Sus scrofa: one gene and its partner. Each later gene encodes a partner of the first gene's protein in a complex. Links are inferred from orthologs where the notes say so. Each region holds a gene or a part of one and is shown on either strand. Other genes may lie near its edges.

Region 1 (4,423 bases):
TGGCTCCTTGATTCAAGCTCTTTATTTGTGCTTTACTGTCTCTTACAGTAGACAGAAAGGTCAACACTTATTTTAGCCTTACTGTTGACTTTATCTCATTTTTCCTAATAAGGGCATAACTCAGAGATATTATGGGGTTGGTTCCAGATCACTGCAATAAAGCAAATACCGAGATAAGTGAGTCAAAAGAATTTTTTGATTCCCCAGTGCCTATAAAACTTGTTTACACTATACTACAGTTTATTTAAAATATGCAATAGCATTATGTCTAAAAACACACTGTACATACTTTAATTAAAAATATAATTTATTGTTAAAAAATGCTAACCATCATCTGACAAGGGTTGCCACAACTTCAATTTGTTAAAAAATATCAGTGAAGCATAATAAAATGAGGTATGCTTGTATTATTTACATTTTCTTCAATCCATTTCTCTCTCTTAACTTCTCAAAAGAAGACTGTATATGGTGTGTATTTTTCTAAGTCCTTCCAAACTCACGTTGTAATAATAGTTGATTAGACATTAAAAAAATAAATTCTATTCTCTAATTAGTCTCTATTGCACTTATATGTATTGATCAAAATGTGTCGACTTAACGTAAAAAAAAGTCGGGAGCCAGAAAACTCCTTGAGGTCTGGAACCCTGTCTTAACAACATACACACGCTAGAAATAAAGCACAAATAAATCCTTTTTTTAAAAATTAAGTTTTTACAAAGTGCATATTTTGTGGAATGGTGGGCTCAAGAGGATTTGAGATGTAGAACAGAGCAAGGTTGCGATGCTGAGTAACAAGCAAGACAGAACTCTGAAACTTGGACGAATCGGAGATCTTTCTGGAGAAGCAGCCCCTTCTCTCCTGCAGCCTAGGAGCTGTGATCCCAGATAGTGTCTCCTCCGCTCGGGCAACATCAAAAGACATTTTCCAGTTATGCTAGCCTCAGAGTACCCTTTTCAAAAGGCATCAGACGGGAAAGCTGAGCGCAGCGGTCCTCCAGAAAGCAACGCCCTCTCCGCCCCCCCTCCCCTGTCCCCCTCTCCTTCGTTGGGAAGCCTGGGAAGCCGCGCCGCTCCAGTCCTGCAAAGTCCCAGATCCCCCGCACCTCCCCGTACACAGGCTGCAGAAGGCTTTCCTAGAACTTCACCCCACTCCGCCTGCACAAAAGCAACTCTAGCCGCCTCCAACGCCTCGACCCCAGACCCACCTGCGGCCTCAGAGCCAACAACGACCCCCACGACCAAGGGCAGCGGTGAACCCAGCCACCAGCGCCGGCGGAAGCTGTGGCCTCGGGATCTACCATTCGCCGGGCCCGCTCGAAGAGAGGGGTGGCTCCGGGAAATCATAAATCTTCTTCCTTTCACTCCTTGATTCTTATCACATTTCTTTAAGATTTAACACATTATACAGCCTTTAAAAATAAAATTTTGTTCCCAGGTGAAGAGTTGGTGTTAGCACCACCTCCTTCCTCCAGCTTTGTCACCCCTCGCCCCCGAAGATGGTATCACCCCTCGCCTCCCCGCCTCCGCGGGTCTCCTCCAGTTTCAAAATGGCGGCCGCCATTGAGGGTTTTCTGCTGGCAGATCGTCACGGGTGCTGCTGAGCCAACATCAGCTTTTCTCGTTCTTGAACCTGGATTCTACTAGGGGTTGGGAAGGGCAGTGGACGGCGTTGGGGGAGGACTGACGAGGCAAGTGGGGGCGGAAGAAATCAGTGCGCCTTTGGATGGGGGAGGGGGCGTCCTCGGCCCTCGGGGAGAGCCTGGCTCCGACTCTGACTCGGTCTCCACCAGGGACGCGCGCCTGGGGTTTCGGTTGTGACTCTCCTGGTCATTCCCGGCCGAAGTGCTCAGTGAGGGAAACAGTGATTTCTTCATGGGTCTGAAGCTCCCGATTCTGTTGTGGCAGTTCCTACGATTCAGTCCCATGCTCTCCTTCCCTCTTTTTTGCTGTTTCCCTCCCCTTTGAGTCTCGGCGCCGGAGGAGTTAATCCGACGTCCGCTTTGGCTCCTTAGCTTTGTGGCTGCCTTGTTCTCAGCCTCCTCGCTTGGGGTCTTCCTGTCGCCTCGGATTGAGAGACCACGAGGCTACTGGCCACAAAGCAGGCGTCCTCTTTAGTTAATCGACTCAAAGACCTTACCATGCTTTATTAAAAAAAGTTTCGGTTCCCCCCTACCCCCCATAGCCTTTGAGCACTTCCCGTATTATCATTATTTACGTACTCTTCAGTAAACAAGAGGTCAGAATAATTTTAACCCTGGCAAGTCTGGCTTCCTGTGACCAGGCGAACTTGAGTGAGCAATTGCCCATGCCCTAATAATATTTTAATGTTTTTTATGTTAGAACCCCTTTGATCCTGTTAGGAAACCAGTGCTCTCCCGGAACTGACCAGGAGGAGACTTCTTACGAGTCTTCGAGGTTAACCCAGACTCTCATTTTCCTTAGACTTTGCTGATTCCCCTTAGTTGTCATTAACATGCACCCACAATCGTTATTAAGAAAGCAAGTAACTTTGATAGATAGTTAAGATGAAATGGTGTTGGTCAAAAACCGCTGCCCAGCAGCAATTTATGATGTCGTGAGGGTTCATTCCTTTCAGTACACATGTACGTTGCTTTGAACGCTGTGCTCCGTATTGGAGATTAAAAGATTCACCTGAACGCTTCTCTCATGCCATTCAACATCCATTCACCATTATTCTTTGTGCCCACTTGTGCCAGCTAAATGTAAATACCATTGCTTGGAGACACCAGAATAGCTTTATAAAAGAGTAAATTTGAGCTGGGTCGTGAAGGGCCAAAAGGAATTTACTAAGCTCACGGGAAGGTCATTCTTGGTTGCAGTGCGGGGATGCAGAGACTGGAGAAGTTTTGGCAAGCTTGGGGAGAGCGGGAGAATGAATGTATTTGAGCATGCTGTGCAAGGGTGGTTGGTGAAGCAAGAGGAAGATTGAGGTAAACTTGTAAAGGACCTTGCTTTCCAAGGAAGGTGTGAGATTTTCTTTGGTACTTAGCCAATGACTGCCTTGCACAAGGAAGGGGGCATGAGGCTATTTTTTGTAGGATGGTCTCTCTGATAGCTGTATGGAAGATCAACTTGGAACTGAATGAGAGGAAATTGCAGTCATTCAGGTAAGGAAATGAGTGCCTTCATTGGGGAAAGATAGTAAAGGATGTTAGACATTTCTGAAATGTCAAAAAGGAATTCAACTGGTGGCAGCCAATTTGTGGTAAGAAGGTGACTTCAGAATTTTTCGTCTGGGAGACTAAGTGGTTGGTGATACCATTAAAGTCTAGTCTGAGATGTGCATAAAAATAGGACGGTGCCTCCTTGCACTTTAGGGGTGACAGAGCACAACGCTCCACAGTCCAAAGCATGTTCAGAGTTGCTATCTGTGCTATTCCAGTAGCCACCAGCCTCATGTAGCTGCTGAGCTTTTGAAATTGTGGTCAGTTCAAATTGAGTTGTGCTGTAAATATAAAATACACACTGGATTTTGAAGATTTAGGACTGAAAAAAAAAAAACCAGTTTCTTAAAAATGATTACATGTTGGAATGATAACATTTTGGATATGTTGGGTTAAATAAAATTAATTTCACCTGTAAAACTTTAATGTGGCCCAGAAAAAAAATTTTAATTACATTTGATATGCATGCTGTTTTTATTGGACAGAGCCGTACTAGTCTAGATGAATGATAGAGGAATTAGTGAGGAGTGGAATTTAGGCTGGGCCTTAAACTGGTGATGGTCAGCAGTGCTGTCAGGGCAGCTTGCTGGCACCCTCCAGGTTTGGTTGTTTCAGACTGTAGGAAGCCTTCAGAGATTTCTAAGCAAGGACTCATACATGTGGGGGTGTTTCAGAAGATTAATCTGGCAGTAGGGTTTAGGTTGAGATGAAGGGAGGAAAGGCTGGAGGCCAAGAAACAGAAACCCAAATGTAAGGCAATGAGGCCCTGTATTAAGGTACTTGCTGTCGGAATGGGGAGGGAATGGTAAATGTACAAGGAATTCTAAGGGGAGAGTAATTCCGGAGGTGGTAACAGTCTGTTCAAGAAGCAAAGGGAGGAATCAAACATGTAGAGTTTCTAGCCTTGGTTCCTTAGACAATGACTCGTGAACTCATGTCGCAGAGTTATAAGGTGCATTTGAGGCTGAAGAAGTTTAGTCTCAAAATAGCACCAGCAAAGGTGAAAGGAGGGAGGGGGCTGCTAAATCCTCTCTTTTTTTTTATCTCCCTGCTTTGACCACCGACTTTATCTAAACAATCACACATACCAGCAAATGTTTTGAATCTGCAGAACTGCCTATATCCTGTCATCTTATAATTGATCTTAAAATATCTCTTTGTTACCTGTTCTGTCCAACAGTTAGAACTAGGTCCAGAGTTTCCAAGGCCTTTCATTAGCTGGCCCTTTTCTATTCATT
Region 2 (4,309 bases), on another chromosome or scaffold:
GCAGTGGGTGAGACTGGCTAGCTCTGGAAGGGGCTGGCTTTGAACCCAGGTCCATGGATGGTATCAGACAGCCTCTCTTGACCAGCACCCTAGTGACACTAGTGCAAAAGCCCTTTACATTCTGCACCTGGTGAGGCTCCACCAGAAATGTAATGTGAGCACGTACGTAACTTAAAATTTTCAAGTACCCACAGTAAAGAAAGTGTTTACATACATGAATTAAAACACAGAATTTTAATTACCGATATTGAAATAGGTGCCCCCATGTTTTTTAAACATGCTTACTCAAATAAATGCTTCTTTTTCAACCATTAAATAACAACGTCGGATCGTCATCTTAAAACAGTATAAAAGTTTGTAGCAGGAGTTTCTGTTGTGGCACAGAGGAAACGAATCAGACTGGGAACCATAAGGTTGCGGGTTCGATCCCTGGCCTCGCTCAATGGGTTGGGGACCCCGCGTTGCCGTGAGCTGTGGTGTAGGCGGGCAGCAACAGCTCCGATTAGACCCCTCGCCTGGGATCCTCCATAGGCCGCAGGTGAGGCCCTAAAAGGGCAAAGGACAAAAAAAAAAAAAAAAAAAGTAATTAAAAAAAAATTTTTTAATTAAAATAAAATAAAAAAAGTCTGTAGTAGCTGCAAAGACCCTGTCTCCAACCATCATTACACTCATCCCTACTTGAAACCACGACATCCTTTGGGCACAGCGAACGCCCCTCGGTCAGTCGTGAAAGGGGCAATTTCGTTCTCCCCACCTGCCCAGATTAATAAACCGTATTGCAGACACGGGGCCCCGCCGCTCCCCAGACGCCCGGAGACCCTCAAGCTGACCCCTCTCCCAGGCTCCCCTCGATCCTCTGTTTCCTCAGCCGACCCAACGGCTCCGACCCTGGCTGCGACCCTCGCTGACCCTCTGGCCCGTCCCGACCCGGGGCCCGGGCTCCTGTGAGAGTCAAACAGGCACTCGCCCCAGGACTGCGGCCCAGTGAACGCGGCCCACCTCGGTCTCCGCCCGCGCCCCCTGCCCCGCGCCCGTCCCGCGTCACCCCTAGCGCCATCCCAGCCGCGCCTCGAACCCCGGCTCACCGTCCCCACCGCCTTCCCAGAGGAGCGCCTCGGCCGACCTCGCGCAGGCGCAGTCTCCGTCGCGAACTCCTGGCGCGCTAGGTTTCTTGGTCGCCGGCAGCGGCGAGGAGAGGTGAGAGTTCGGCGAGCGGCTAGCCGGGCCTAGCAGAGCCGCCTGTACTCTGCGCTTGATTGGCCCGGTCTGGAGCGAAAGGGCTGGCGCGGGCTCTGGGTGCTCCCGGCATCCCTTGGGCGGCGGCGGCGGTGGCGCCGGTGTTGGCGGCAGCGGCGAGGCGGCGGAGGACAGTGTGCGGCGGGTCTGCGGCGGGTAGAGGTGTGAGGGAGACGAGGAACCTGAGCGGGAGCCGGGCCGGTGTGGCCGCCGCCGCCGCCATGCAGGAAATCATCGCCAGCGTGGACCATATCAAGTTCGACTTGGAGATCGCAGTGGAGCAGCAGCTCGGAGCGCAGCCGCTGCCCTTCCCCGGCATGGACAGTGAGCGCAGGGTCCGGGAGGAGGGCGAGGGCGCGATGGACTTGGCTCCGGGACCCCCCCCCCACCCCCGCCGCTGTAGTTCCAGGACGCCCTGCCCCTCAGTTCGGGAGCTCCTCCCCCTCGGTCCTGGGACTGCTTTCCCCAAATCCTGGGACCCCCACCCCACCTTCTCCCGTCATTTGGACTAAGGAGCCCCTCTTCCCCGATCTTCGACCCCTGAGAGCTAGCCTAAGGCTAGGGCAGGACCACGTCCCGCCCATCAAATAATTCTTGAATGAAAGCGGGTATCGTGTATTGGAAATACTGCCCCCACTCGAACACGCTCCCCAACTACAGAAAAGTACCAAGATATCCCCTTTCCCCATTTCCAGCCCCCCACTTTGGGCGGTCTCTTCTTGCTTTCATCAAAACCGGGCCGTTGGGAGAGTCTTGCAGAGGGAAGGACCCACCCCTTACTCTGTAGGAGACCCCCAATGAGGCGCTCAAGCTCCGTTTTTCTCCTAGGACTCGCGCTCCTGGGAGCCCATTCCTCACTGTTTCTCTGGACCCCACCTCTGGGTCATTCCTCACACCCAGGCAGCCGCCCAAGTGTCCTTCACTCTCCCTCTTCACGTGGCGGCAGTTATCTTTTCCTCTTTCTTTCTCAGAGATACTTGAAATTTAATGCTGTAAGTTAAAGCTCAGAGGGCTCTTAGGGGTCAGTCATTGAGTTCAAGCCACAGATGAAGCACCTGAGCCCTGGGCTGGGGAAGGGACTGGCCAAAGACTGCTCAGCGCCTGATGGAGCCAGATGAGCTCGCCAGGCTTCTTGACCCTTCTATCTGTGGCTCCCTGTGCCGTCCCCCTAACTGCCAGAGGACATGGACCACAGTGCCACATTCTCCTACCTGTCCCTGGACTAGCGGAGCCTCCCTGCGGCCTCATTCCCCTCAAGTGGCCACACTTCTCATGCACGTGTGACCTCTGAGTTGTCCCTCTTACGCTGACGTTTCTGTATAAGATAATGCATGTACACAAGAGACGTACCTTTAGCAGCAGTTACTTTCTATACACATACAAACGCTGTCTCCACTGCATACGGCTTACAAGCCGCTGCCCAGACCCTTAAACCGGTCAGTGCAGGTGATCACTTCATGCTTATACACAGACATCTACCCTCACACCCGTGGCCTCTTCCTCTGCTGATGGCACTAGCTCGAGACCAAGGAACCATCCATACTGGGCAGCTCTTTCTCCCTCCGCCCTCCAGCCTGGAACCACAGATACCTGAGCCCGGGAGGGCAGGTGCAGCGGTGAGGGGCCCTCAGATCTGTGCTTGGAGAGGGTCCAGGACCTGCCTAGCCACAGGTACTGCCCCAGCCCAGGGCCTCAGCACTCACCGCCTGCCCGAGATCACGGTCAGTGTGTCAGAGCCCAGGGAGGCCACAGCCCTTCCTCCCCCTCGTCCTTGCACTTGATTTCTGTCTTAATACAAGAAGGATCTATGGGTTCTGTCCTGAAGGCACATTTCTTTATCATGTCCGCCTCAGACCCCGTCCCCAGCACTGTGGACTTTGGCATTTAAGGAATAAAACAACCTTAAACCTCTGAAAAGAACGAAGGCTCAAAGTACTCTTAAATGATAACTTTTTTTTTTTTTCTTTTCTTTTTTCTTTTTAGGGCTGCACCCGAGGCATATGGAGATTCCCAGGCTAGGGTTTGAATCATAGCTATAGCTGCTGTCCTGTGCCACAGCCACGGCAATGCCAGATCCTTGACCCACTGGGGGAGGCCAGGGATTGAACCAGCAGCCTCATGGTTCCTAGTCAGATTCATTTCCGCTGAGCCACGAGGGGAACTCCTTAAAAGATTTTTTAATGTAAGACTTCTCGGACTTTTCTGAAATGCACACCTCTGACGCCCACTTCTGTAACCTTAAATCTGTCCTAGCAAAATAGACCTGCTTCTAAGAAGCCAATAGAGCTCTTGAAAGTTTGCAGGGGAAGACACGTAAGAGATGCTCGTGGTGGGTTTTGAGCATTTCTAAAATGCCCACTGATAGAGAAAACTGAAGCCACAGATGCTTTCTCCTGGTGGCCATGGCGGGTGAATTCCTGGGCTCCTTATTACAGCCCTGCACCCCACTGACTTCTCTGTGCTTGGCCTTCCTTCTCCTGCTCCCCTCCCGTGAACCAGCTGTATCTGTGGAACATTGAATTGTGTGTTGCTGCCGCTTATTAAGAGCAGTCACGCTCCTGCGTCATCAGTTATGCTCTTCCCTCCAGGAGGGTCTCTGAGCGCCCACCTCTTCCTCCTCGGGGTCCCCGTTTGCTTGTTTGTGCTTCCTGTGGGATCATTCCCTCCCCCTGCCTCAGGTTCAAGTGCCCCTGAATTCACCCTCTGCACAGTCTGAGCAGGGAGAAATTAATTTCTGTCACTTGGGCTCCATCCTTCCTGCGCCCAACCACTCCTAACTCCTTGAAAGCATCTGGCTTGTAGGAGGTTCTCCGAAAGCCCTGAGTAATGACTGGTCTCAGCATATATGCCTCATTCTGCCAGGAATGGCTGAGAGAAAGAGCATTTTCCTTGCTCGAGCTTTGCATTTTCTTCCCACTCTATTTCCTGTACCTTGAATCCTCTGGGGGTTAAAGGCCAGAAGGGTTCCCTCCGCATTCTTCAGACGTCACCAATAGCGGTGATAGCTTGCTTTGTTTGACCCCTCTCCTTCTCTCTGCAGAGTCGGGGGCTGCTGTCTGTGAATTCTTTCTGA

Evidence for each region.
Region 2: CPSF2 (region 1) and CPSF4 share a complex: the UniProt entries of both Homo sapiens proteins name them as parts of the cleavage and polyadenylation specificity factor (CPSF) complex. The link is inferred for Sus scrofa from reciprocal best matches to the Homo sapiens genes CPSF2 and CPSF4.

The regions. Positions count from the first base shown.
Region 1 is NC_010449.5:113,658,377-113,662,799, forward strand, and holds the start of CPSF2 (cleavage and polyadenylation specificity factor subunit 2), read left to right. Parts: upstream 1-1,561; 5' UTR 1,562-1,688; intron 1,689-3,010; exon of another isoform or gene 3,011-3,128; intron 3,129-4,423. Other genes in the region: NDUFB1 (NADH dehydrogenase [ubiquinone] 1 beta subcomplex subunit 1), read right to left, coding at 1,206-1,383, 1,514-1,561. UniProt on the Homo sapiens protein: Component of the cleavage and polyadenylation specificity factor (CPSF) complex that play a key role in pre-mRNA 3'-end formation, recognizing the AAUAAA signal sequence and interacting with poly(A) polymerase and other factors to bring about cleavage and poly(A) addition.
Region 2 is NC_010445.4:6,373,058-6,377,366, forward strand, and holds the start of CPSF4 (cleavage and polyadenylation specificity factor subunit 4), read left to right. Parts: upstream 1-1,304; 5' UTR 1,305-1,457; coding exon 1,458-1,560; intron 1,561-4,276; coding exon 4,277-4,309. UniProt on the Homo sapiens protein: Component of the cleavage and polyadenylation specificity factor (CPSF) complex that play a key role in pre-mRNA 3'-end formation, recognizing the AAUAAA signal sequence and interacting with poly(A) polymerase and other factors to bring about cleavage and poly(A) addition.